Macaca mulatta: one gene and its partners. The protein of the gene in region 2 purifies or fractionates together with the protein of the main gene of each other region. This does not show direct contact. Links are inferred from orthologs where the notes say so. Each region holds a gene or a part of one and is shown on either strand. Other genes may lie near its edges. The genes, in order: XPO1, HDAC3, CCND1, WDR5, RUNX1, ATXN3 and STAT3.

Evidence for each region.
Region 1: the proteins of HDAC3 (region 2) and XPO1 purify together in Homo sapiens (affinity purification with western blotting; 3 studies listed by BioGRID, with this or other methods). This does not show direct contact. The link is inferred for Macaca mulatta from reciprocal best matches to the Homo sapiens genes HDAC3 and XPO1.
Region 3: the proteins of HDAC3 (region 2) and CCND1 purify together in Homo sapiens (affinity purification with western blotting; 5 studies listed by BioGRID and IntAct, with this or other methods). This does not show direct contact. The link is inferred for Macaca mulatta from reciprocal best matches to the Homo sapiens genes HDAC3 and CCND1.
Region 4: the proteins of HDAC3 (region 2) and WDR5 purify together in Homo sapiens (affinity purification with western blotting; 3 studies listed by BioGRID). This does not show direct contact. The link is inferred for Macaca mulatta from reciprocal best matches to the Homo sapiens genes HDAC3 and WDR5.
Region 5: the proteins of HDAC3 (region 2) and RUNX1 purify together in Homo sapiens (affinity purification with western blotting; 3 studies listed by BioGRID). This does not show direct contact. The link is inferred for Macaca mulatta from reciprocal best matches to the Homo sapiens genes HDAC3 and RUNX1.
Region 6: the proteins of HDAC3 (region 2) and ATXN3 purify together in Homo sapiens (affinity purification with western blotting; 3 studies listed by BioGRID). This does not show direct contact. The link is inferred for Macaca mulatta from reciprocal best matches to the Homo sapiens genes HDAC3 and ATXN3.
Region 7: the proteins of HDAC3 (region 2) and STAT3 purify together in Homo sapiens (affinity purification with western blotting; 4 studies listed by BioGRID). This does not show direct contact. The link is inferred for Macaca mulatta from reciprocal best matches to the Homo sapiens genes HDAC3 and STAT3.

What each region holds. Positions count from the first base shown.
Region 1 is NC_133418.1:63,242,455-63,245,954, forward strand, and holds part of XPO1 (exportin-1), read left to right. Parts: intron 1-67; coding exon 68-249; intron 250-334; coding exon 335-491; intron 492-565; coding exon 566-729; intron 730-1,903; coding exon 1,904-2,038; intron 2,039-3,250; coding exon 3,251-3,434; intron 3,435-3,500. UniProt on the Homo sapiens protein: Mediates the nuclear export of cellular proteins (cargos) bearing a leucine-rich nuclear export signal (NES) and of RNAs.
Region 2 is NC_133411.1:150,478,537-150,482,759, reverse strand, and holds the start of HDAC3 (histone deacetylase 3), read left to right. Parts: upstream 1-1,423; 5' UTR 1,424-1,482; coding exon 1,483-1,537; intron 1,538-1,642; coding exon 1,643-1,725; intron 1,726-3,313; coding exon 3,314-3,456; intron 3,457-4,223. Other genes in the region: RELL2 (RELT-like protein 2), read right to left, coding at 1-17. UniProt on the Homo sapiens protein: Histone deacetylase that catalyzes the deacetylation of lysine residues on the N-terminal part of the core histones (H2A, H2B, H3 and H4), and some other non-histone substrates.
Region 3 is NC_133419.1:5,007,858-5,011,357, reverse strand, and holds part of CCND1 (G1/S-specific cyclin-D1), read left to right. Parts: intron 1-300; coding exon of another isoform or gene 301-325; coding exon 326-474; intron 475-3,397; coding exon 3,398-3,500. UniProt on the Homo sapiens protein: Regulatory component of the cyclin D1-CDK4 (DC) complex that phosphorylates and inhibits members of the retinoblastoma (RB) protein family including RB1 and regulates the cell-cycle during G(1)/S transition.
Region 4 is NC_133420.1:8,356,143-8,359,642, forward strand, and holds part of WDR5 (WD repeat-containing protein 5), read right to left. Parts: intron 2,429-3,500; coding exon 2,353-2,428; intron 1,559-2,352; coding exon 1,525-1,558; intron 1,208-1,524; coding exon 1,133-1,207; intron 405-1,132; coding exon 317-404; intron 1-316.
Region 5 is NC_133408.1:12,359,897-12,364,184, forward strand, and holds the start of RUNX1 (runt-related transcription factor 1), read left to right. Parts: upstream 1-1,488; 5' UTR 1,489-1,628; intron 1,629-1,840; 5' UTR 1,841-1,899; coding exon 1,900-1,957; intron 1,958-4,288.
Region 6 is NC_133412.1:165,351,482-165,355,643, forward strand, and holds the start of ATXN3 (ataxin-3), read right to left. Parts: upstream 2,801-4,162; 5' UTR 2,789-2,800; coding exon 2,765-2,788; intron 1-2,764. UniProt on the Homo sapiens protein: Deubiquitinating enzyme involved in protein homeostasis maintenance, transcription, cytoskeleton regulation, myogenesis and degradation of misfolded chaperone substrates.
Region 7 is NC_133421.1:66,739,584-66,743,602, reverse strand, and holds the start of STAT3 (signal transducer and activator of transcription 3), read left to right. Parts: upstream 1-1,219; 5' UTR 1,220-1,386; exon of another isoform or gene 1,387-4,019. UniProt on the Homo sapiens protein: Signal transducer and transcription activator that mediates cellular responses to interleukins, KITLG/SCF, LEP and other growth factors. Once activated, recruits coactivators, such as NCOA1 or MED1, to the promoter region of the target gene.

The DNA of each region.
Region 1 (3,500 bases), on a different chromosome or scaffold from region 2:
AAACATGGTATTCATTGGTAAAACTCTTTGCTCATTATTTGCATTTGAAACAATTTTTTTTTCGTAGTTTATCTTACTCATCTGGATTATGTAGATACAGAAAGAATAATGACAGAGAAGCTTCACAATCAAGTGAATGGTACAGAGTGGTCGTGGAAAAATTTGAATACATTGTGTTGGGCAATAGGCTCCATTAGTGGAGCAATGCATGAAGAGGATGAAAAACGATTTCTTGTTACTGTTATAAAGGTATGCAAGGGATAGGTATGAATTAGAATTGCTAAATAAGTATTATGTTGTTACAATAAATGATATAAATCTGTCTTATTTACAGGATCTATTAGGATTATGTGAACAGAAAAGAGGCAAAGATAATAAAGCTATTATTGCATCAAATATCATGTACATAGTAGGTCAATATCCACGATTTTTGAGAGCTCACTGGAAATTTTTGAAGACTGTAGTTAACAAGCTGTTCGAATTCATGCATGGTAAATCTCTTTCTTTACTATATTTTGTTTTTATTTTTATTGAACAAAATAAATGAATGTTTTTGTCTTGTTAGAGACCCATGATGGAGTCCAGGACATGGCTTGTGATACTTTCATTAAAATAGCCCAAAAATGCCGTAGGCATTTCGTTCAGGTTCAGGTTGGAGAAGTGATGCCATTTATTGATGAAATTTTGAACAACATTAACACTATTATTTGTGATCTTCAGCCTCAACAGGTATGTTAAGCACTGAGCATATGTTATTTTTAGAAAGTAACACCTGTATCAATCTGTATGTATCAGTGGAAATAGGAAGGCAACTGTTGGATCCAATAGAAGTGTTTCTGATTAAACTTTCTTTTTTCCTTGAGAACAGGGTATTACTCTGTTGCCCAGGCTCAAGTGCAATGGCACGATTACGACTCACTGCAGCCTTGAACTCCCAGGCTCAGGTGATCTTCCCACCTCAGCCTCGTGGGTAGCTGGGACTACAGGCGTGCACCGCCTTCACACCCAGCTAGCCTTTTTCTCCCCCCTTGGTAGAGATGGGGTTTTGCCAAGGCTTGTCTTGAACTCCTAGCTTCAAGCGATACGCTAGCCTCAGCCTCCCAAAATTATTTTATATGTGTGAGCCACGATGCCCGGCCTGATTAAATTTTCATAGTGAGACAGATTCTTGTTTTTGTTTTTGGGGGGGTGTGTGTGTGTGTGTGTGTGACGGAGTCTCCCTCTATCATAGAGTCCAGGCTGGAGTGCAGTGGCACAATCTCTGCTCACTGCAGCCTCCTGGGGTTAAGTGATTCTCTTCCTCAGTGGCTGAGATTAACAGGTGCGTGCCACCACGCCCAGTTGACTTTTGCCTTTTTAGTAGAGACGGGGTTTCTCCATGTTGGTCAGGCTGGTCTCAAACTCCTGACCTTGTGATCCGCCCGCCTCGGCCTCCCAAAGTATTGGGATTACAGGCATGAGCCACCACCATGCCTGGTTTGGGTTTTGTTTGTTTGTTTGTTTGTTTTGTTTTGAGATGGAGTCTACCTCTGTCACCCAGGTTGGAGTGCTGTGGTATAATCTCGGCTCACTGCAACCTCTGCCTCCCAGGTTCAAGCAATTCAAGCCTCCCAAGTAACTGGAATTATAGGCACTTGCCACCATGCCTGGCTAATTTCTTTGTATTTGTAGAAGAGATGGTGTTTCACCACGTTGGTCAGGCTGGTCTGCAACTCCTGAACTCAAGTGATTGGCCTGCCTCAGCTTCTCAAAGTACTGGGATTACAGGAGTGATCCCCACCGCACCTGGGCCAAAATCAGTTTCAAGATATTTGAGTTGCTTGTGTGTGAATTGCTTGTGTGTGGTTTTCCTTATTAGGGTGTATAAGAACATAAAAGTTAAAATGTCTGCTTTTTAAAATAGGTTCATACGTTTTATGAAGCTGTGGGGTACATGATTGGTGCACAAACAGATCAAACAGTACAAGAACACTTGATAGAAAAGTACATGTTACTCCCTAATCAAGTGTGGGATAGTATAATCCAGCAGGCAACCAAAGTAAGTATTCTACTTTTTCTTAAAGTTTTCATGGGATTTAAGAAGACTGTGTTCCTTACAAATATATTGAATTCAAGCCTTTAAACATGTATGTGTGATCCGTAAGTGCTTTTATGTGTGGCTTTGTACATTTTATTATCTGGGCCAGGCGTGGTGGCTCACGCCTGTAATCCTAGCACTTTGGGAGGCTGAGGCGGGCGGATCACCTGAGGCCAGAAGTTCGAGATCAGCCTAGCCAGCATGGCAAAACCCCATCTCTACTAAAAATACAGAAATTAGCTGGGCTTGGTGGCACATGCCTGTAATCCCAGCTACTCAGGAGGCTGAGGCAGGAGAATCACTTGAACCCAAGAGGCAGAGGTTGCAGTGAGCCGAGATCGAGCCTCTGTACTCTAGCCTAGTCGACAGAGCAAGACTCCATCTCAAAAAAAAACCTGAAAATCTGGGCCGGGCGCGGTGGCTCACGCCTGTAATCCCAGCACTTTGGGAGGCCGAGTCAGGCAGATCACAAGGTCAGGAGCTCCAGACCATCCTGGCTAACACAGTGAAACTCCGTCTCTACTAAAAGTACAAAAATTAGCTGGGCGTGGCACCGGGCACCTGTAAGTCCCAGCTGTGCTCAGGAGGCTGAGACAGAATGGCGTGAACCCAGGAGGCAGAGCTTGCAGTGAGCCAAGATCACGCCACTGCACTCCAGCCTGGGCGAATAAACGAGACTCCGTCTCAAAAAATATTTTACTTCATTCTTAGGTAGATATGGACAAAAAGGCTTTTGTGTTCGTTTTTACCATTTGGGATTATAAATATGATTTAGGGTAAGGGAAGTGTAATGGCTTTTGTTTCAGTAATTATGTGGATAATTTTTTTTTTTTTTTTGAGACGGAGTTTCACTCTTGGTGCCCAGGCTGTAGTGCAATGGCATGATCTCAGCTCGCTGCAGCCTCTGCCTCCCAGGCTCAAGGAATTCTCCTGCCTCAGCCTTCCAAGTAGCTGGGATTACAAACAAGCGCCACCATGCCTGGCTGATTTTGTATTTTTAGTAGAGAGAGGGTTTCTACATGTTGGTCAGGCTGGTCTTGAACTCCCGACCTCAGGGTGATGTGCCTGACTCAGCCTCCCAAAGTGCTGGGATTATAGGTGTGAGCCACCTCACCTGGCCATTATGTGGATAATTCTTACATGATAAATGGAATTTGCTTTTTTTTCTCCAAGAATGTGGATATACTGAAAGATCCTGAAACAGTCAAGCAGCTTGGTAGCATTTTGAAGACAAATGTGAGAGCCTGCAAAGCTGTTGGACACCCCTTTGTAATTCAGCTTGGAAGAATTTATTTAGATATGCTTAATGTATACAAGTGCCTCAGTGAAAATATTTCTGCAGCTATCCAAGCTAATGGTAGGTGATTCTGATTTCTTATACGATGCAGTATAAACACTTCTCTTCTACTGCCTCAAGTCAAAC
Region 2 (4,223 bases):
GGCTGTGGTTCCGACATGAGGCCCTGGGGGGCGAGCGCGGGCCAGGGCGCCTCCTGGGTTTAGGAGGCTGCAGCTGGGAATGGGGGAGGGGTAGGAATGCAGTTCTCAGGATCTGAAACAAGCACGTCTAAGACGTTCGGCTAAGGTCCGGCTCCACCCCCTACCCAACCAGGGAGCTGTCCGGGCCAGGGGTGCTGTTTCGTCAATACGGCCCAAGGCAAGAGGTCAGCGGCTACGCAAGCTCTCTACCACGACCCTGGTCCCGCTTCCCCGACGCCCCGAGCGTTCCCCTTTCCAGCTCGTTCGCGCTTCCGTCCCTCCCAAGGACACTGCAGCACGAGATGGGACGGAATTCTTAGGCGGCGGGAGCAGAAATCGTGCCTGAGTCAGCGCCCGCACCTCCTCCGCGCCGGCCTGAGCCAGGCCTCTGCAGCCCCCTCCTCTCAGTACTCCCGCACCCCTCTCCCTTTTTGGTTTCTCCCACCCTGACCACCTGGCCCACCCGGTACCGGTGATTTGGTTCTGGTTCCGGCTTCTGCTCAGGTTCCGGCTCCAGGGGCGTCCTAGTGCGGCTCGGGGCCCCCGACGCCCTTCCGGCGCTCATCCCTTGATTCCTCCCCTCCCCCTTCGCCGCCTCACCGGCCCCGGGCTGTGGCTGCGGATACCCGCGCCGTGGCAGGCGGGGGGAGGGAAGGACAGAGAAGGATGCGGGCTGACTGAGAGCGGCGGCAGGCTCTGGGCAACTCCGGCCCTGGGTCAGGGAGATCGCCTCCGCAGCCGCCCTGGCTTCCCAAATGCCTTCGCCCGTCGCGGGCCCAGGACCAGGAGGCGGAGCGCAGGTGTGCGGGGCGGAGAGCGTGAGCTCTGCGCGCGCGTGACTGCGCCTGGCCCCCCCGGGGCAATGTGTGGCGCCGAGTCTAGGTCCGGGTAGGGGACAGGAGGTCCGGCGTGGGTGTTGTCCACTGGTCTATCCGCTACGCCTGGCGCAGCTCCTGCCCTCAGATGCCCCGACCAAGCGGAGAGTCAGGAATCTTCCCCGAGGGCTGGGGGAAGCCGGCTTTCCGCACCTTTGAGGGACGGCGTGGCGGGATCTTCGGAGCTTCCTAGAGAAGTGACCACGGCCTGCGCCCGGTTTGGGGCAAGCGGCTGGATGGGATGGCTCAGCTTCCCGAGGATCTGACCCCCGGCCGGAGAGAAATGGCCCTTGCATCCTAGGAGCGATGCTACCAGTTCCCCGCCCAACCCGGGACGCTCAAAGCCGCAGCTCCCGGGAGAGCGGAGCCAGGCGAGGGGCGGAGCTCCCCCGGGGGCGTGGCCTGGGTGTGGCTGGAGGCGGGACCGCAACGCCCAGTTCCGCAGAGGCAGGCTACGTGCTTGCGCAGCACGCACGGCTGGGGCGGGGTTGGCGGCGGGTGGCGGGTGGCGGGCCGCGGGCGGCGGGCGGCGGGCGGCGGAGGCGCGGGGCCTGCTCCCGCCGGCACCATGGCCAAGACCGTGGCCTATTTCTACGACCCCGACGTGGGCAACTTCCACTACGGTGAGGAAACAGGGCTATGCATGAGGGTTGGGACGCGGAGGTTTTGAGGCGGGGGTTGCAACTCCAGGGGTGAGAGCTGACGAACTCTTTTCTCCCCACCCCCAGGAGCTGGACACCCTATGAAGCCCCATCGCTTGGCATTGACCCATAGCCTGGTCCTGCATTACGGTCTCTATAAGAAGATGATCGTGAGTTTCGCCGCCTCGGCCGGGGGTTGGGGGGGGGTGGGGCGAGCTGTGGCGGAAGGGATAGGTGGGCTGGACTGAGTGCATCAAGTGCGACCAGCCCCTAGAGTAGCGGGGAGCTGGATAGAAGACACCGGAGTATCTTGAAAGTGCCGGGTGTTGGAGGTGGCGTCCTCTGCTTAATGGAAAGTACTTTCTCAGCTCAGGTCGGCCACCCTCTGACTGTAGGCACCCTAGCCCTTGGCCTAGGGTTAAGGTGATGTGGGGGCTGGTTTGAAGACAGAAGGAGTGTTCCTCCTCTGCATTTTAGAGTGTGGATAGGGCCTTGGCCTCAGGAATTAGGTTTAGGGGAGCGGATATCACTGTATCAGGGTGTAAGGTTTACCCTCAGTTCCCACTCCTCTTTTGCCACCTTTTTTTTACCTCCAAGGAGCTGGGGCTCCAGGGTGGGACGATACTACCGTGTTTCTAAATGTGTATGTGCGTGTGGAAGAGAGGAGATATCTTAGGTATTCCTTTTTCAGCCCGGAATACCTCTACATGGTTCTACTTAATCGCTATCCAGTTTTTCATCTCCCAGACATACACATGCTGTCTTCCCAGCTTGGAATTTATGGCTGTGATATGGCATAGTAACAGTTAAGCCAGGCCAGGTGTAGTGGCCCATGCCTGTAATCCCAGCACTTTGGGAGGCTGAAATGGGAGGATCGCTTGAGGCCAGGAGTTGGAGACCAGCTTGGGCCACAGTGGGACCCACATCTCTACAAAAATAAAAAATAAAAAAAGTAGCCATGTGTGGTGGGTGTGCCTGTAGTCCCAACTACTTGGGAGGCTGAGGCGAGAGGATGGCTTGGGCCCAGGAGTTTGAAGTTACAGTGAGCTATGATCAGCAGCCTGAGTTGACAGGGAGGACCTTGTCTCAAAAGAAAAAATAAGACAAAACAGCTAAGCCCAGGCTTTATGTGTTGCTAGGGAAGCTAGTGAACAATATGAATGAATGTTCATTGCTTGTGCCCAGGCACAGACAAATAGATTGGTCATAGAAAAGACTGAGGTGATGTTAGTGCAGGAATCTTTATCCCTTGAGATTGTTTGCCTATATGTACCTGTGTGCATTTTCTGGGAGAAAATTTGTCCAGTTTTCAAAGAGATGTGACACATCCCCCCGACCTTCCAAAGATAGTAAACTTCTGATTTTAATTAGAAAGTTGACATATATGCCATATATTTGACTCCAGAAAGAAGAATCTGGAGGAAAGAGGACAGAATCAGAGCTTGGGGGAGGAGATGAGCGTGGAGAGAACTGGGAATAGGAGATCCAAGGAACAGGGCAGGTGGATCAGGGCTCAAAGTTGAGAAGGTACAATAGGCTGAGCTGGAGGTGGAAAGGAAAAGAAATGGTCTTCAGGGGGCTCATTCGTAATAACTCACCTGGTTAATTGGAGTCTCTCTATTGACTTAAGGATTGTGGGATGAGGGGAATGCTATATTTGGCTTCATATAGTCTCCAGGGCTGGGTTCAGTATGGGTGGTCTGAGCCTGTGGAGTGGGGCTGACCCTGGCTAGGTTCATCTTGTGTCTCCATCCCGAGGTCTTCAAGCCATACCAGGCCTCCCAGCATGACATGTGCCGCTTCCACTCCGAGGACTACATTGACTTCCTGCAGAGAGTCAGCCCCACCAATATGCAAGGCTTCACCAAGAGTCTTAATGCCTTCAACGTAGGCGATGACTGGTGAGGGAGGACTGGGACTTTTGATGTCTAATAGTTTAATGCCAAGCCCTTCAGTGAGGTCTTTTGGCAGCAGTGGGAAGATCTCAAGGGGGGCCTACTTGTCAATGAATCATAATTCACTTACTTGTTTATTCAATAAATATTTACTGGTCACTTGTTCTAGGCCAGGCCCTGTGCTAAGTGCTGGGAATGCAGTGATGAACAAAACCAAAATTTTAATACTGTATTTTTGCTAAGTCTTATGAAGAGGAGGTATATGACAGATTATGAGAGTATATATGTGGAGAATTGTTTAGCTTGGTGTAGTGGCTGGTCGGTGGGGCCTTCCTAGAGGAAGTAAAGATTGAGCTGAGATCTGAAAAAAGAGTAGAAGTAGTGAGATGAAAGGTGGTTGAAGGGTGAGGGGAGGAGTATAGCAGGCAGTAGGGACAAGTGCTAAGGGTCCGTGGTAGGATTGAGTATGACTCATTTGAGGAACAGAAAAAAGGCCAAGTGCAGAATATGAAGAGGAGGTGAACTGAATTGAGGCTAAAGAAATAGGGCCTTTTTAAAGTAAACAGCTCTATTATGAATTAGGGTTTTTACTCCTAGAGTAGAGGGAAGCTATCAAAGTTTTTTAAAAAGTCCTGATCATAAGAGGGCTATGGGCAGTTAAGAAAACAAAAAAACAACAAAGGAGTGGTTTGATATCGTTAGGTTTACATTGAGCTGGTATCATCCATAGAAGAGTCAGGATTAGACCCTGTGGGGAAAGGAGTGGACAACAA
Region 3 (3,500 bases), on a different chromosome or scaffold from region 2:
AACTTTGTTTTTGTGAATAAGTGGTAACATTCACAAGGCTCAAGATGCTGAAAGGATGAGAGGGTAGTGATGTCCTTGTCACCTGTCCTGTCTTCCCGTGGCTTTCTCTCTGCTTGGTTATGTTTGAGTCAACAGTGGGGCTGACATTCCTGGAGGGTCCCTGGGCCGGGCTCTTGCTCTCCTAGTACCCAGGGATGGCGGGAGGCTGGGGAGGGCCTGGAGAGTGGTACCCACCAGGCCGGGCCGCCTGCTCAGAGCCAGCACGTGGGGATGCCCAGATCACGGGTCCCCTGCTCACAGCCCCCTTCCCTCTCTCCTGCTGCAGATGTGAAGTTCATTTCCAATCCACCCTCCATGGTGGCAGCAGGGAGCGTGGTGGCCGCAGTGCAAGGCCTGAACCTGGGGAGCCCCAACAACTTCCTGTCCTACTACCGCCTCACACGCTTCCTCTCCAGAGTGATCAAGTGTGACCCGGTGAGTGAGGGCAGTGTCCCAGGGAGCCTCGCCGGGGCTCACAGGCAGGAGACGCCTAGTGCCACGGAAATGCCAAGGCTGGTGCAAGGGTGACAAGGTTGGGGTTGGGGCTGGGGCTGGGCCCCTCGGACCCCAAGCCACAGACTGACAGGGCACCAGCTTCTTCCACTGCTCCTAGAACTCACTGACCGGTCGGGAGGTCCTCACAGGCTGCTCATGTCCCCTGGGGCTTCCAGGAGCTGTAGAGTGTTTCTGGGCGAAGCGTCTAGGACGACGGCCCCAGGCGGCCCCAGCCAATGGTCCGTGTGGTGATAGTGTGTGGGGTTAGGCCCAGGCGAGCTTTGTTTGGGCCACAATGTGCGTGGCCAATAAATAGATGCTTGAAAAGGGCTCCTGTGAGGTCCGAGACGCCGGACAACGGGCGGATAGAGACGGCCTTGTTTACGGCTCTTTGAGAGGCTGCTGCCGTTAAACCCTGGCATGACTGTGTCTTTCTTCTTCAAAATGCCATTGTTTTATTCCCGATTCTTTTCTTAAAGAAAGAATTAAAATGACAATCAAAAGGGTTTGTGGCATTTACCAAATTAGACCAGAGAGGTGGCCGGGTCAGCCGCCGGCCCTGCGGTGTGTGAGGGAGTGACCGCCTGACCCCAGCTTGGGGCCGGCTGGGCCTGCGAGGCCCGTTGTGGCTCTGGCCTGGGCCGCCTCTTGGGGGTCTGCCCTCGAGCCTCCCGGGGGCTCCGCACGGGTCTCAGCAGATGCTATCTAGCGTCCACCTGCCTGTCCCCTGCCTAGCGGTGCCTCTAGGCAGCTAGCGGCTGCCCAGCCCATGTGTGTCTCGGAAGAGGAAGAAGCATTTTTGCCATGGGATACTGGAGGTGGCAGGGGCGCCCTCCCCTCCCTTCTGTGCTCTCGGCCGTGGCCTCCCTTGCACCCTGCCCCGTGTTATCCTGTGGGGGTGGTAAGGTGTCCTCACCCGCTGTAGGGTGGAGGCCAGCAGCCCACAGTTCTCTCAGGAAAATGGTTCAGAAACGCCGTCAAGGCCTCCAGAAGCCCAGCAAAGGGAAAGCCCCTCCGTCAAAATGAAACTCGCATCTGCACTTTCATTTCCAACTCCACGCCCTGAGTGGAAACCGCCTCCCCGCCAGGGGTATCTGCCCGGGATGTTGCTGTCTTTGGGCAGTTGTGGGAAGTTGGGCACTGGCCCTTATTTGAGTAGAGACCATCTGAACTAGATGGGAGGCACACGCTCACAGCTGACACACGGGGTGAAGTTACCTGAGGCGGAGTCCACTCTGCCTGATTAGCTGAGCCCAGACTCAGAAAAACCGTTCACAGCAGAGGCCCCCTGCACTTTCTAGGGCGTGTTCTAGAATTTTCTTTGGTGGGTGGAATGTCCATCTGTGTGAATCGGGTGCACAGGGCCACACACCAGTGACTTTTCGTGGAGGAGCGTGCTGCCTCCTTGGAGCTTCTGGCTGTGGGAGAACAGCTCTGTCCACCAGGGTAGCCTTGCAGGCAGCTGTGGGGCCAGAGGAATGAGGGAAATGGAGTCCAGCTGCATGCGTGACCCTGGAGCGGGTCATGGTGAGGGGGGCGGACGGCAGGTGAAGAGTCCGTGGGTGGAGCTGCCAGGCCCCTGGAGCTGGGAACTGAGGGTGGCTGGTGTTTTAGGTTGAACATCAGGAGTCTTGGATCTCACCCCAGGTCTCTGGCCTCAGTTTCCCCATCTGTACAGTGGGACTGTTTGTGCTGCCAGCCCAGCCGGCTTCATTTGCCATGATGAGAATTTATCTGAAAGGCGGGAGAGGAAAGCCCTCCCTATAGTCACAGGACGCTAAAATGTTACGACCCCAGGGGTCCACTGAAAAGTCCTTCTGGCCTAGGTCATCGCCTGTCATGCCCTGCCTTTGTCCACCCCCATCTGGTTGGAAGTTCAGTGGCACCTGTTGGGGCTGTGGCCCAGCCCTGCTCCTTGTGGAAAGTCTGTTTCCTGGGCTGCCTAGAGACTCGGCTTGAAGCCCTACTGTGGCTTCCTGGCAGTTGGGACACACACAGCCCCAACACATGAAGCCAGTTCTCTATCCAGAAGCCCCCGCACAGGAGATAGCCGCTTCGGGCTGCCTGGGACTTGCCCGTGCTGGAGCTGAGGAGAGGCCCCCGGCTGGGCGCGGGGTTCCGGATTCCATGGCTGCTCTTTCCCACTGACGGTGTGGTGCGGCCGCCGCCAAGGGGGTCTGGAGACCCGGAGGGCGGAGGTGCAGGACTTCCAGGAGCTTCTGTTGCACTCCACCCGAGGGCGAGCACCTCTGTGGCCGCAGCGGGTGGATGCATGCTGTGCCAGGCTGATGGGTGGCCCCGGGGCACAGGCCTGAGCGGGAGAGGATGGAGGTGAGGGATCAAGGGTCCAGGTCCCCCTGGGCACCCAGCATTCATCCTCAGTCATGCACGGCCTGAGACTTTGACAGCCGTTGATCATGGAAGGCCAGGTTCACCTGGAGGGCTGCCACACGGAGAGGCTGTCTGAAAAGGCAGGACTGAAAGGGCCTGTCTGTCCAGATCAGATGGCACTGAATTCCCCAGGGAGCTGGCAGGGCCAGTGGGAACAGAAGGTCAAGGAGCTGTTGAGCTTGGGGATGGGCAGAGCGGGTGCAGGGTGGGCGGGCAAGCATCTGCTGTCTTGTGGCTCCGGAGGCCAGGTGGGAGGTGGAAGCGTTGGGTCCTGAGTGTCTCACTGACAGGTGATGGCAGCTCCCACGTCTCGCTCAGGTTCAGAGGCGGCGGCATGGGTCAAGGGACAGTTTTTTACTTAGTCTTGCTCTTATAGAGGCCTTCCAGGTCGTGGCACCTGGGAGGGGGCCCTCACCGCAGGCCCCTTCTAAGGACCCCCTCTTCCCACCTCTCCCCACTCCGTCTCTCTCAGGACTGCCTCCGGGCCTGCCAGGAGCAGATCGAAGCCCTGCTGGAGTCAAGCCTGCGCCAGGCCCAGCAGAACATGGACCCCAAGGCCGCCGAGGAGGAGGAAG
Region 4 (3,500 bases), on a different chromosome or scaffold from region 2:
AACGGAGCTCGCCGTGAAGTGGGACACGCTACACCCACCTAAAGTCCCACAGCCACACACACCTTCCGGACCAGAATACCCGGCAGAACAGGAAGAAACAGGGTTCAAGACAGGAGCCCTGGGTCCGAGTCGGCAGCACAGTGACCAGCTCCATGCCTTGGGCAAGAGCTCTTAGCAGCGGCTCCTCAATGGGGCCAGCGGAGGGCTGAGGAGGGAAGGGGAAGACGACGGCACCCTACGGGCAGACCACGCTTCACCTACAGGAACTGTCCTCACATGAACAGGCAGCCGTGGCTGCGGGAGCACAGGCCCTCACCTGTGTGGCCTTGTAGTTTCTGTACAATCTCTTTCGTCTGAAGGTTCCAGATGTAAACAAGGTTATCCTCTGAGCCAGACACAATCCACTAAGTAACAACAAGCAGGGAAAACAGGGCAAGGAAAAGCAGGTCAGCGCTCGTGTATGTGGAAGGGGCAGAATCTCCAGTTATGCCCCGCCCCACGCCCACCCCGCTGGTGGCTGCCTGGCTGAACTCAACCAAAAAGCCGTGCCTGCCCTCCAGCCAGGCCTGAGGCTTCCTCCCCCAGTGCGGACAGCCCCGCCTGCTCTACCCCAGCACGGGCCTCGCTCAAAGAAGCCAGGCACCTGCTTGCCCCAGGAGAGGCTTCCAGGCTGGAAGATGCTTCTCAGGTCCCCCTTTCCTGAGTCTGTGTGTCATACACATGCTGCCCAAGAGTCACCCCGGTCTAAGCAGCATCGAGACCAGTGTGGGTGGGCGGGAAAACACTCCCCTCCCTGCTGGGGCGGGTGGACAGCCTCGGAGCCAGCGCACCCACCCAGGGACACCCTGAGCCGCGGAGCTCCACCTGTGGGGTCCCAACCCCCTCGGAAGGCATCGGCCAAGCACTGCCAGCAGAGCCCGGCAACAGGCTGCCTGCCTCCATTAAGGAGCTGGACCTAGAAACAGACGGGACAAGGTGTCCCCGGTGCCTGGCGCAGCGCACTTTGGTTGAAATGGAAATTCATTGTGTGGGCACAGAAAAGCGTCTGAGTGTAAAGCAACCTGTAACAGGGGTGACCTCTCGGGAGAGTAAGCTGGGAACGCGTGAGACGCTTCAAGGTCATAAGACTCACCTTCCCGCCAGTAACAGAGAAATTAGCAAATATGCAGTATTTCTCATTCTTGTGGCCAGTGTACGTCTTCAGGCACTGAAACAGGAGGGGACAGGCTGGTCACAGAGTCATGGATCCCCTTGATTTTGTATAATTCTACGTTCTAAGCAAGGCGTTTCACCACTGACTACACTTACTTCTGAAAAGTACAAGTACAAAACCCACACAATCGAAGATTTAACTTGCAGACTGCCACCCTACGAATACCCAGGTTTTTCAGGAATCTGCACCAAACCCGTGGAAATGGTTCTCTGAGCTCCTCTCCTTTGTCATCAGCGGGGCCACTCTGTCCCCACCAGAGGCCATGACCCAGGGACGGCGCACAACGGGGGCCCGAGCCTGCGGGAGCTCACCTTGCCCTTGCTGTAGTCCCAGAGCTTCAGAGTGCTGCAAGACAGAGAGAGGCGTGAGGCGGCACGGCCGGAGGCGTCCTGTCCCCACGCCCAACTCTGCAGCCACTACGTCACAGCCACCATCAGCGCCAGGTGCAAAAGCCAGCGGGGATGCAACCCCCTTCCCCGTCAGGGTGAGGGCCCCTCAGGCTCAGAGTCCAGTGACTTGGCGTTGGGGAGCCACAGTGTGAGAGCCCCAAGTATTTGCAGTTCCAAGAGAGACTTTAACAGGAAGCTGACGGGTGTTATCGTCCCTGACTCAGGTCATCCTCAAAAGGGTGAGGAAGTCCTCTTGGTTCTGGAAACATCCAGAACAGGTTTTACCACCCAATCACACAGCCCTCAGAGGATCGGGGCCCAGACTTGGACCCACAGGCTGAGGCTGCATGCGTGGGAAAGCTGGAGCTTAGAGAACAGTCCGGGAGGGCAGCGGCTTTGTGAGAGGTAAAACCAAGGTCCTCAGAGGTCAGAACCAGAAAGGGCCTTGGAGGACCCCGGACCACCTACTCCTTCATGCGGGATGGCTAGGCCTGCCCCGGCCACAGTCACTCAACCAGAAAACCGACCCTAAATCCTCCTTTAGTCGGACCTGAGGTTCAGCCTCGGGAAGGGATGGGCAGGGGCCTGCCCTCTGACCTAACAGGCCACTGCCCAGAAGCCAAAGCTCCAGCAGGAGCCTGGGTCCCGTGCCAAGCCCACGACATGCTCTCCGAAGGCTCACGCTGGCGAGCAGGCGTCTCTGGCTGGGGAGGCCACACGCCCGCCCCCACGGTCCCACGCAGTACTCACTTGTCCAGCGTGGCGGCCAGGATGTATTTGCCGTTCGGGGAGAACTTCACGAAAGACACTGGGGGGTTGTCGTCATCTGCAATAAAAACAGACAGGTGACACGGGGCGGGCGCTGACAGCTGGGCAGGGACAGGAGGTGGGACCCGCTCCCCGTCCCCCACGTGCGACATCTGAGTGAGGTCGGCCACCACCACCAGTGCCAGCACCACCACCCCCTGGTGCCCCGAAGGGTGGCCTAGCCACGCACACCAGCCGTGAGCAGGTTCTTGACACCTCAAGCCCATGGCCCCGGGGGCCCCTTGACACCAGGACTTAAGGAATACAGGCCTCCTCGGGCACCGGGCAGTGGCCATTCTCAGGAATCACCTGCCTCACAGGGGAGGGATGAGGTTGGCGAATGCCCAACTCAACGGAGGGACAACTCCACCAGCAGCAAAAAGAGCTGGGGAAGTCACCTTGGAAATCCTCCTTTTTTTTTTTTTTTTTTTTTTTTTGAGACAGAGTCTTGCTCTGTCGCCCAGGCTGGGGTGCAGTGGCCGGATCTCAGCTCGCTGCAAGCTCCGCCTCCCGGGTTTAGACCATTCTCCTGCCTCAGCCTCCCAAGTAGCTGGGACTACAGGAGCCCACCACCTCGCCCGGCTAGTTTTTTTTTTGTTTTTTTTTTTTTTTTTGAGACGGAGTCTCGCTCTGTCGCCCAGCCCAGGCTGGAGTGCAGTGGCGCGATCTCGGCTCACTGCAAGCTCCGCCTCCCGGGTTCACGCCATTCTCCTGCCTCAGCCTCCCGAGTAGCTGGGACTACAGGCGCCCACAACCGCGCCCGGCTAATTTTTTGTAATTTTTAGTAGAGACGGGGTTTCACCGTGGTCTCGATCTCCTGACCTTGTGATCCGCCCGCCTCGGCCTCCCAAAGTGCTGGGATTACAGGCGTGAGCCACCGCGCCCGGCCAGTTTTTTGTATTTTTTAGTAGAGATGGGGTTTCACCGTGTTAGCCAGGATGGTCTCGATCTCCTGACCTCGTGATCCGCCCATCTCGGCCTCCCAAAGTGCTGGGATTACAGGCTTGAGCCACCACGCCCGGCCGGAAATTCTCCTTTTAAGAATTTATCGACGCAAGGGGCATTCATGCCCACACAACCCATCTGCTTGT
Region 5 (4,288 bases), on a different chromosome or scaffold from region 2:
AAGCGGTCTGTTGAGTTTCAATTCCTGCTTTAGTCAAAACAGGAGTAAGTAAAAATTGTGCCTGTTCCTTTTGAAAGGCTTCTGCCATGGAAGCTGCTATCATTGTGTGTCTTTGTGTGTGTGAGATTAAGTGGATGAAGGAAAACCGAGGGAGTGTTGTGGGAGTTCGGCTTTTCTGAAGTCCTGTGCTGGCTACTGCAGCTTAGAATCCAGGACTGGCATTTACAACCCATCATCACACAGGTTCTCTTGACCCTGTGTGTCAAAATTTCAAGTGCACAGAGTGCTATGGCGGAGGTAGGCAGAGCAGAGCAGAATGAATAAGGTAGTTAATTAGGAAAGTAAGTCTTTCTTCATCTTGGAACTACAAAACAAAATGACGTTTTATTTGTCAGCAAGTAAAGCCAGTGGGGCCTGAAAATGAACTATGTGTGGCCACAGTGGTTTGCCCACTTACAAAATTATCCCATTTTTAGCATCTTCAAACAGGCATGCCTTTCTAAGGTAGAGGACGCGCTATATAATATTCATTAGTCAGCCCCAGGAGAAGCCTCTTCTCCTGGTTCCCCTTCTATTGTGAGATCCTCATGTGCACAAAGTGTAGTTTTACCTACAGGTGTAAATTAGCCTATTCATTTGAATTGAACTAGAGAAAGGCAATGCAGGGAGCCTTCCCAAGTGACAACACAAATAAACAGCTGCAGATAACCACTGCTTTGTCCCAAATACAGAAATTCTCTTTGCTTTGTTTTCCCTTAGCTTCCTAATTTGCGTGTGTGTGTGTGTGTGTGTGTGTGTGTGTGTGTGTGTTAAGAGTGTACTATGATTTTATCTCTTTACTGAAAGAGATACATACTAAAGTTGTCCATTTAGGGGGAATAAAACCCCATAATTTTAGTGTCATTAAAATAGTCTTTTAATTTCAAAAGTAAAATTCTTTTCCTTTCCCGGGCTTTAAAATACCTGCGAGTTGCCAGCCCGTTGTAGGGGTCAGACTCTCACAAAAATATTTCTTTTTATTTATTTTTCCCTTTTATAGTTTCACTTATGCCATGATAGACTTTACCAAGCACTTAACTCTCCCGGAGCTGATGCCTAGCATTTTAAATGATGGGATCCACATCCTGTCGGAGCAGCGGCTTGATGCCAGCGTTGAATTACTATTGAATAAGCAGCAATGAAATCTTTATCAAAATAATCAGTAGTTCCAAAAACCACAAATAACAACAGGAGCCGAGTTGTACTAAATCAGCAAAGACCATTGAGATATAATAAGTGACTGAGTCACTTTTTTCTACATCCCCCCTCTTGCAAAGTCTACTCGGCTATTTTCTTGCACAGCCTGGGGGAGGGCAGGTGGAGGGAAGGAAGGGCATTGCTCAGAAAGGAAAAAAAAAAAATTGACATCACTGAAGTCACGTGATCGGCAAGAACCAATTGAGATGGGCTGTGGAAAGGGGAACAGTTAAATTTGTAATTTGGGTTGTGTGAAAACTTCTTTGGGCCTCATAAACAACCACAGAACCACAAGTTGGGTAGCCTGGCAGTGTCAGAAGTCTGAACCCAGCACAGTGGTCAGCAGGCAGGACGAATCACACTGAATGCAAACCACAGGGTTTCGCAGCGTGGTAAGCATCACCAACCCACAGCCAAGGCGGCGCTGGCTTTTTTTTTTTTTTTTTTAATCTTTAACAATTTGAATATTTGTTTTTACAAAGGTGCATTTTTTAATAGGGCTTGGGGAGTCCCAGAGGTATCCAGCAGGGGGGAAAAGAAAGAGAAATGTAGGGCTAGAAGGGTGAGGGTGAAACAGTGACCTGTCTTGGTTTTCGCTCCGAAGGTAAAAGAAATCATTGAGTCCCCCGCCTTCAGAAGAGGGTGCATTTTCAGGAGGAAGCGATGGCTTCAGACAGCATATTTGAGTCATTTCCTTCATACCCACAGTGCTTCATGAGAGGTGAGTACATGCTGGTCTTGTAATACCTCCTTTTGCTCAGCTTTGCCTGTAACGAAATGGCAGCCTGCTTCACCTCGGTGCAGAGATACCTCGGTGCCTGCCGGGTCCCTGTCTGGTTTGTGGGAGGAATTCAAACTGAGGCATATGATTACAAGGCTATTGGATTACTTACTCATCAGATGGAAGCTCTTCAGAAATGTTTTAATAAATACTTAGTTATGCTGTTGGAGTGTTCAGTCGGTGCGTGAGAACTTTGTCAAGTGTGAGTAAGTTGTGCTGGTCTTGTTTAAAGGCTTAGAGATTACGAAGCTTGCACGAAGCTCCCTGGGTTTTATTTTGCTGTCCCTTGCCCAGAATGACTGTGTCTGAGTTATCCTGAACTCGGCATGCTGTGTGGCCCAGAATGCAGCCTGCCCTGGGGCTTAGCAGGCACATGCACAGAGCCAGCCAGGAGGGCTGGTGCCAGTGTGGGGCAGGAGGTGGAGGCTCTCAGATAGCCTTGCACCAGCCTGGGGACTTCAGGGCCAAAGTGGCAAGGCAGCTGTCTCTACAAGGCAGAGAGTACAAGAGCCTGACAGACTCGCTTAGGTGAAAATCACCAGCACGGGGCTGTGCTGTGTTTTTCCTTGTCGCCTCAATGCAAACAGACGGCCAGCATCTTTCCAGAGAGAAAGGAAGCAGACTGTGGCATACCGAGGTCTCTCTGGAAAACGGCAATGAAGAAGGTTCCCAAGTTAAGCATTCTCACAGCTGAAGTCGTTAGATTACAGGCTTCTGAATAGGAACAGCCAGGGTGGAAAACCTGTCTCCATTTTTGAAACCAGCCTCTTGAAATGCACAAAGCTGCGGTTGAGCTGTGAGTGTGTGAGTGTGTGTGTGCCTGTGTGTCTTGTGTATCTTTCGTGGTAAAAGAGGGCTGTGCTTAAACAAACAAAAATAATAACATAAAATGTCACAAAGGCATTGCCGTGTGCGTCGGGGCACGCACTCTGACCAGTGCCTGCAAAGTGTTTCTTGATGGTTTGGCAAAGCCGAGATGGAGTGGGCTGGGATAGGAGAATAATTAATTTTCTGGCTACAGACTCTCTTGAGCACCCAAATAGTATCTGTGACTCATTATTTATTCATACAGCTAAGTGAGCAGGGGAATGCAGAGGGCTTGCCAGTCACTTTATCACAGCAAATGCTATTGTGAATGCACAGGGCTCTATGTTTCCGGGTCCCTGATATTAAAAAACTTGACGAGAGAGAGAGAGAGAGAGAGAGGGTGTGTGTGTGTGTGTGTGTGTGTGTGTGTGTGTGTGTGTGTGTGTGTGTTGGGGATGGCAAGAGAGAAGTTAAAGGGAAAGAGAAGAAAGCAAGTCATTAACCAGCTCAAGTTTCAAATTAAAGAGTTTTCAAGTGCTTCTTTACTGGCAGCAGAGGGAATTTTAGTGAAGTTGAATCATGCAGACATGCATTAGTCACTAGTCTTGCAGCGTCGTTCAGTTGGTAACACAGACACACCGGCCACTGGTAAAGAGCTGCAAACGGCTCCCTGGCTGCATTTCCTCTGGGCTGCTAACAAGCAGAGGAAGCAATATTTGTTGAATAACAGAAAGAAAGATCTTCCTGACTTTACTCCACTTTCAATACCCCCTCGGAACGTGTATTGTTTCCTATTTTATCAACTCAGGAAGGCAGATTCAGGAAATTTTTAAGCATTCCATTGAGCAATAGGTTGGATTTCAGTGTGCAGTGCTGGCCCCTGGGCTCTCCTTACTGGCCAACAGCAAAGATGGTGAGGGACACGGTGACCCGTGCAGACATCAGGAAATAGCAGGAGTGCCGCTGTCTCCCGGACAAGCCCAGGGCTCCTGTGCCCAGTGGACACTCCGCTGACCTGCCCTTGATTAGGAACGAAGGTCGGTTATTTTTCACGGGGGCAGTGTAGGGAGGGCCTGAGCTCACACCAAGACTCAAAAGGGCTAATCTGGAAAGGTTTTTCCACTCCTTCCTTTCAGTGAAAGGAACTCAGGGTTCTTTAGAATCTCTAATTTGATAATATAATATTGAGATTTGCTATCAGAGGGCCGGGTGAAATCTTGGCAATTTCCTGGTGAATTTCATCCAAGTGATCCATCAACAGAAAGGTTTAAATTGTCCAGGTTAGCTGTCCACATCATTCACCGGAGCCAGAGAGGTGGCAAAATATCATTTCTTTTGGTACCGTTTGGTCATCGTCTTAGAGCCTGATGCTAGAAGAACCACCATCCCTGCCAACAAATGGCTCTCCCCCAGAGTTCTCAGCCTGTTGCCATAGCTGGGCCACTCGCAGTGGTCAATGCGGTC
Region 6 (4,162 bases), on a different chromosome or scaffold from region 2:
GCCTATACACATGCTGATAATTCAGAGGGACTCTTTTTTTTTTCTTTTCTTTTCTTTTTTTAGACAGAGTCTCGCTTTGTTGCCCAGGCTGGAGTGAAGTGGTGCAGTCTCAGCTCACTGCAACCTCTGCCTCTTGGGTTCAAGCTATTCTCCTGCCTCAGCCTCCTGAGTACCTGGGATTACAGGCACCTGCCACCACACCTGGCTAATTTTTTGTATTTTTAGTAGAGACGTGGTTTCACCATGTTGGCCAGGCTGGTCTCAAACTCCTGACCTTGTGATCCACCCACCTGGGCCTCCCAAAGCGCTGGTGTGAGCCACCGCACCCGGACTAAGAGGGACTTCTTTCGGGTAAGTAGATTTTCGCTAGGCTAGCACCCAGCTTTTATTGATCCCATGGTTCAGTAGAAATGCGTCCCAACTAGGTAACAATCAATATTGTTAAAAATCTTGTCTGATTCTCAGGAAGTAGTGTGGAACATGTTTAAGGCCTTCCATGTTGAAATCTGGTCCCACACCAAAGCCTTTGAAAATTAATAACAAAAATATGGCCGGGTGCAGTGGCTCACGCCTGTAATCCCAGCACTTTGGGAGGCCGAGGCGAGTGGATCGCCTGAGGTCAGGAGTTGGAGACCAGCCTGGCCAACAGGGTGAAACCCTGTCTCTACTAAAAATACAAAAATTAGCTGGGCGTGGTGGTGGGCACCTGTAATCTCAGCTACTAGCGAGACTGAGGCAGGAGAATAGCTTGAACAGGGAGGCAGAGGTTGCAGTGAGCCAGGATCGCGCCATTGCACTCTAGCCTGGGTGACAAGAGCAAAACTCGATCTCAAAAAAAAAATGTTTTTAAGAAAGTACATGTGTATTTTTCACACACTTTACTCAGCCAAGCAACTAAATCTCTATTGTCTATGATTTATAAATCATGTCAATCAAGTCAAAAAATCAGTGACAACTATATGACTGAGGCCTTCCTCCCCCACTGTAAATCTGCCTATTTCAAAAGTTTCTGAGATGTTTTCTACAATGAAAAGCATTGTACTTAACAATTTGTTCCAGGCACAGTGGCTCACGCCTGTAATCACAGCACTTCGAGAGGCTGAGGTGGGAGAATCACCTGAGTCCAGGAGTTCTAGACCAGCCTGGGCAACACAGCGAGACCCCTGTCTCTCCAAAAACATTAGCTGGCCCTGGCGATATACACCTGTAGTCCCAGCTACTCTGGAGGCGGAGGAGGGAGGATCGCTTGTGCCTAGGGAGTCAAGGCTGCAGTGAGCCATGATCTCTCCACTGCACACCTGCCTGGGTGACAGAATGAGATGCCATCTTTAAAATAAAAATTAAAAAAAAGATTTATACTACAGATTTACATCTGGTAAATGTATTCTTTTGTCTTTGCTTTATTTGTTGTGTGTGTGTGAATTTTATTTTATTTTATTTTATTTTATTTTATTTTTTTTGAGACGGAGTCTCGCTCTGTCGCCCAAGCTGGAGTGCAGTGGCGCTATCCTGGCTCACTGCAAGCTCCGCCTCCCGGGTTCACGCCATTCTCCTGCCTCAGCCTCCCGAGTAGCTGGAACTACAGGCGCCCGCCACCGCGCCCGGCTCATTTTTTGTATTTTTTTTAGTAGAGACGGGGTTTCACCATGGTCTCGATCTCCTGACCTTGTGATCCGCCCGCCTCGGCCTCCCAAAGTGCTGGGATTACAGGCGTGAGCCACCGCGTCCGGCCGTGTGTGTGAATTTTAAATGTCTGGGATAAACGATCATTTATAAGCATTTAATAAAACAAAAACCCTTTGCTCCTCCTATTAAATAATAGCCTTACCAGCAACTCTTTCCAAACATGATACTATTACGAAACAAGATATCATGTGCCAAAGTTGTCCTGGGGAAGGCTTCACTCACATACAAATGGATGGATAATAGCATGTGAGAAACGAGGAGTTTCTCCACATGTCACAAACAGTATCTTCAAGTGCATGGTCACTGAAGAGTTAAAGTGACAGCAGGCTAGGCAGACCACAACAAAATCATTCCAGTCCACTCCTAATACCTAAAAACAAAGCTGGCTGCCTGCTCCGGAAAGATGAGAGTACCAAAAGAAACCAAACCCAAACATCCCGTAATAAAAACTCGTGACGACTTCCCTGTTTAGGGGCACAACGGGTTTCCTACTTCACTTCCTAAGTGTCAGGCCCTACAGTGGGCGAGCCAAGGTCTCCTCCCTCGGGAGGCTCGCGGACCTGGTGCAGGGGAAAAAACATGAACAAGACCTCAAAGATCTAAATGTAGGGAAGACTCCAATATAGAATTGAGCAGTCTGGAGAAAGAAAAGTTAATTCTGCCAGGAGTAGGGTAGGAGGGGTCGAGGGAGGTGTCCCAGAGGTGACTGTAGCTAGACCCTAGGGAGAGGGAAGGATTGGGGAGGGGTGAAGGAATCCTCCGAAAAGCTATGGAAAGTGACTTAGAAAGGAAGAAGCAAATCCACTGGGCGCCACCGCGCTCCCGTGTCCCGAGACGCCCCCGGCCCCGCCCATACTCCCTCCCGGCTCCCAGGGCGGGGGCCGCGGGGGAAGTAGGAGCGTAGGTGATGCTCCCCTCCCCGAGCCGAAGAGGCGGGGGGTTGCGGCGTCGCCCCTCGCCCGGCGAGATCGGCATGGGGGCGACTCGGACCCCACCCAGCCCTCCGGGAGGCTGTGATGCCGCGCTCCACGCCCGCCACCGCGCGGCAGACAGCTCCCCACCGCACGCGGACACTCACTTTCTCGTGGAAGATGGACTCCATGTTTATTTGTCTGGAGCCAACGGCCCCCACACCGAACCACCCCCTCCAGCTCCGCCCCCTGTCCCTCCCCTCCGCCCACCCCGCCCCGCCCTGGTCCCCCGCCCACGCGCCGCACGCAGGCCAATCACCCGCGAGGATGCGAGTCACGTGAAGCGAAGAGCGAGTGAACGCCGGGGACACGTGACCTTGGTAGCGCGTCCTCCTAGTTTCTGTTAGAGGGCCTTCTGGGGGATGCTACATCGCCACCTGCTGTCTGGAGGATCTTCTCCGCTTCCCACCCATTTCTATGGGTTCTTAGGTTTCTGGGGGGAGGTTTGGACCACTCACCTGGGTTCGATACTCTTTTTGTTTTCCACTTTGTACTTTCTACTGTGTTCATATAACTATTTACTTTCTTTCTCCTCCTCCTCCACTGAAAATTTAGTAAGAAAAAGCCATCATTACATTCTCCCAAAACCTAGCACTTGTATAAAAATGATAGCTAGGCCGGACGCGGTACCTCATGCCTGTAATCCCAGCACTTTGGGAGGCCGAGGCGGGCGAATCAACTGAGGTCGAGAGTTTGAGATCAGCCTGACCAACATGGAGAAACCCCGTCTCTACTAAAAATGCAAAATTAGCTGGGCGTGGTGGCGCATACCTCTAATCCCAGGTACTTGGGAGGCTGAGGCAGGAGAATAGCTTGAACCCGGGAGGCGGAGGTTGCAGTGAGCCGAGATGGTGCCATTGCACTCTAGCCTGGACAACAAAAGCGAAACTCCGTCCCCAAGCCCCCAAAAAAGGAAAAAAGTGATAGTTAATATTTATATAAGGCTTTCTATGAGCTAGGCCCTTTTCTAAATGCTTTGCATATATTATCAAATTTAATACAGCAAACTTTGATGTAGGTGTTGATGCTATTCATACACATGAGGAAACCGAGGCACGGAGAGGTTAAGAACAGCACAATGTCCAAGGTCAGATGGTAAGTTGCCTTGCCAGGATTCAAATCCAAGTGACTTGTTACCACTGTAGGTGTTCGGACCCTTTAGAGGGAACTTAGAAGTCTCATAAATTGTGTGGGAGACGGGGAGGTAGCAGCGGTTTGATGAAGCTTGAATGGAAGGATAGGTGCAGATCTTGCACCTTGAAACCAGATTAAGGTGTACTTTTTTTTTTTTTTTTTTTTTTTTTTGAGATGGACCTCTCTCTGTCCCCCAGGCTGGAGTGCAGTGGCACAGTCTCCCCGCTTACTGCAACCTCCACTTCCTGAGTTCAAGTGATTCTCTTGCCTCAGCCTCCCAAGCAGCTGGGATTACTGGCACGCATCACGACATCCAACTATTTTTGTGTGCTTAGTAGAGAAGAGTTTGTACCATGTTGGCCAGGCTGGTC
Region 7 (4,019 bases), on a different chromosome or scaffold from region 2:
TTTACCTTTCTGAACGGTCTGCATTTTCTAAACAGGAACATGTATTAGTTTCATTGAAAAAAAAAATGTCAGGGGTTATCTGAGCAGTGAGATAATGGGTCCTTTATAGATTTTTGTCTTTATACCGGTTCGTATTAAACAAACACAAATATTAATAACATATTTTTAAAGACCCTAAAAAAATAAAAATTAAAAACCCTGATAGTATCAGCACATACACAGAAATCACTCCATTATGCAAAATTCATCCTCTATTATGAAAGGCAAAATGTCTACATTTCCTATGAACCACTGGCTTCAATTCAGCAAAACTTGCATACCAAGTAGGCAAGGTGGAAACGAAAAAGGCGGAACATTTCATGTATTTCAATTCAGACGCATAAAAATGTCAAGCCCTACACGTATCAACTTTCGTATACACCGTCTTCTGCATTCGCCTGTACCGGCCAATGGGCTAGCTGCTCGGAGTTTGATGCTTGAAGTGATGGAACGGAGGACGGGGTTAAATCTACTATTTCTCCCCACGCACTCTAGTATTTACTCTATTTCCACGTCATGTTTCCGGGTGTGTGTGTCCCTGTTCACGCAGAAACTGAAGTTCAAAGCAGGCGGAGTCACTCATGTTCTTTTTGTTGTCCCCAGAACCCAATTCAGGTGTTGGGTCCCCAGAGGATCTGGAGATACCTGGGGACTGTCTAACTGGCTGATTCCCACGTGGTAAGAGGCTCTCAATCTCGCCACCACGTGGTGCCAAGGGCCGGGAAAAGGGAGAGCGGACAGGAGGGAGCTGTATCAGGGGCATTTAAAGTGCCTTGACGTCACGCACTGCCAGGAACTCAGCTGAGTTTTCAGCAGGACATTCCGGTCATCTTCCCTCCCTCCCCCCGGGCTTCTGTGCCCAAGTCCTCGGCTCTTCCCTCGCTGTGGCGGAGGGAGGAGCACCGAACTGTCGGAACAGCCAGCACAGGGGCGTATCAGTCTTCTCTTGGCTCCGCCCTTTCTCCTAGCTGCTCTCTTCATTGGTCAGTGGGCGGGGCTTTGTCGGTACCGCACACGCACTGGGACCTCTGGGTGGCCGAGCGAAATGGCCGTTCATGAATTATGCATGACGGCGTGCCCCGGCCAGGCTGGGGCTGGGCGGGGATTGGCTGAAGGGGCTGTAATTCAGCGGTTTCCGGAGCTGCGGCGGCGTAGACCGGGAGGGGGAGCCGGGGGTTCCGACGTAGCAGCCGAGGGAACAAGCCCCAACCGGATCCTGGACAGGCACCCCGGCTCGGCGCTGTCTCTCCCCCTCGGCTCGGATAAGCCCTCCGGCCTGAGGGAGCCCCGTCGCCCGCCCCCGGCGCACGCGCAGCCCCGGCCTCTCGGCCTCTGCTGGAGAAACAGGTGAAGGGGGTGCAGGGTGGGGCCGTCGGGGAGGCCTGGGGACCTGGGGGCGCCGCCGCGGTTGGGGGCCTCTGGGACCTTGGGGATTTTGTGATGGACGCTGCAGTGGGGCGGGGAGAGATGAGGAGACGCGGAGGGTCGCCCTGAGGGAAGACTCTTCGGGATGACAGGAGCGGGCCTCGGAAGGGACTCGGGGCGCTGGAGGGAAGTTTCGTTCTTCGGAGAAACAGTGAGAACGCGCCCGAGGGGGCACCGTGGGGCGAGGGCGCACTCGGCTGCGGCGGCAGGAGTGAGGGACAGTCCCCCGATTTCCTGCTCCCTGGAGCCCTGGGGACGTTCCGGCCGCCGGAGCGACTGTCACGCCGGCGGGGATCACCGGCGCGGGTGGGGGTCGGAAAGCGCCTCCTCCCCGCCTGGCCGGCGGCTCCCTCTGAGCCACTTCCTCCGCTTGCCCTGTTCCCGCTTCTTCAGGAGCCAGCTGTGCCCTTCTGGAGGCAGGAATAGGTGTGTCTGTCCCCTGCAGCCTCACGGGCTGGCTGGTCGCGGGTAGGCTTTATTGCATAAGAATCAAGTTTCCTGTAGGGAAATTGACAGACCGGTACTCTTTCTAAATTCCCTCCCATCTTTTTCTAGGTTAAACTATGCTCCCCTCACGCCCCCGCCATGTAAAAAAGAGGGGAAAAAAAGACAAAATCCCCGTCAACCCGTCAAGCCAGCTCTAGAGAGAGAAATAAATCTCTTGGCAATGTTCTTTTCCAAATACCTGGTAAAGTCGGCCAGAAGATAAATAATTGAGCCATTGCGTTTACTGGATTGTGGTGTTGCTTAATTGCATAGGACGGAATGAACCAATCGAGAGTGGGAGTTCTGTGTCTCAGAGCCAAGATCTTGGGTAAATGCAGAGGAGAGGGAAACAAAGACAGGCTGGCCTTGACAAAACCATGTGTGCTAAGTTTACCTGCATTTAGGGGGGTGTGGTTGCACTGAAGTTAACAAGATTCAAACCGTCGCCCAAGTTGGTATTTCCATGTTTGATACACATCACCCTGTGCCATATCAGGTCGTTGTAAGTGTGGTGACAAAATCAGTGGTTAGTCATTGTTTTTTGTTAAAAATGTGTATAGTGTGTACCTGCTGGTCTTACTGTATGTGCAACTAAAGGTTTACGTAGTCTGTGCATGGGTTGTAAATTTTTGGCTGGCTGTGCTGATAAAGCATTGGGCTTGAATAAAGCAAAGCAGAAAATCATCTCAATCTTTTATATGTGGATTTAGACTGTGCTATGACTTGATTCAGCCAGTTTTCTATTTTATTTTATATTAAATATGTCTGTGTTCTCTGAGTCAGCACATTTATTTCCTTATTACATGTTCCAGACGGGAGTGCTAGCCCAGTTTTTGTTCAGTTTGCACAGTGGGATGGGGAAACAAGTCTGGAATTAAAAAAAAAAAATGTTTTAGAGGTTGGAGCCTTGATTTTAGTCTCTGTATTAGCACATCCATCACAAAGAACCATTAGTAAATTCATGAATCTTTTGTTTTTTATGTAGTTCATTTGGGAAGAATAATCACTTAAAAATATCCACAGTGCCAGGCATGGTGGTGCACACCTCTGATCCCAGTTACTTGAAAGCTGAGGCCGGAGGATTCCTTGAGTCCAGGAGTTGAGTCTGGTCTGGGCAACATGGTGAGAGGCCAGGAATTGGGTCTAGAGTCTAGTCTAGGCAACATAATGAGAACCCGTCTCTAAGAAAGAAAGGAAAGGAAAAGAGGAAGAAAGGAAAGAAAAAGAAATACCCACAGCACAGTTATGAATTGACCCACAAAGGACTTGTGAGGTAGGTAGTTCACATAACAATTCCTCTAATATTGTAGATAAGAAAATTGAGGCCAAAGGATCAAGACACTTGCCCAAGGCGGCAGAGTGCCATAGTGGTGGAATTTGTGCCGCCTTCTGTATATTTTGTGAAAAGTATCAGTGAAATTCTTTTTTTTTTTTTTTTTGAGACGGAGTCTTGCTCTGTTGCCTAGGCTGGAGTGCAGTGGCGCAATCTTGGCTCACTGTAACCTCTGCCTCCTGGGTTCAAGTGATTCTCCTGCCTCAGCCTCCCAAGTAGCTGGGACTACAGTTGCGCACCACCACGCCCGGCTAATTTTTGTATTTTTAGTAGAGACCAGGGTTTTACCATATTGGCTAGGCTGGTCTTGAACTCCTGACCTCGTGAGCCGCCCGCCTCTGTCTCCCGAAGTGCTAGGATTACAGGTGTGAGCCACCGCACCCAGTATCAGTGAAATTCTAACATATATCTGAACAGTAAAATACCACCAACAGGCTGAAAGACTTTATGGGAGGTAAATATTCAATAAACACGTGAAAAAAGAAATACAAATGGAGCTTGCTTAGATTATTTTTCTACCTAATTGCTATGTCTAACTTGGGAAGTGAGGAACTGTTTTTGGTCAGCATAATTTACCATCAGAATTCAGCTATTTACTAATGAAAAGAAATACTAATCGTGGTTTGTTTTAGATTAAGGACAGTCATGACCTAAATGTCATTTAAACCAGAGTGCATTGTGGCTTGATCAGTGGTCATTTCTGTCTCTAGAAAGTTGCTTTAACCACCCTGCCTCT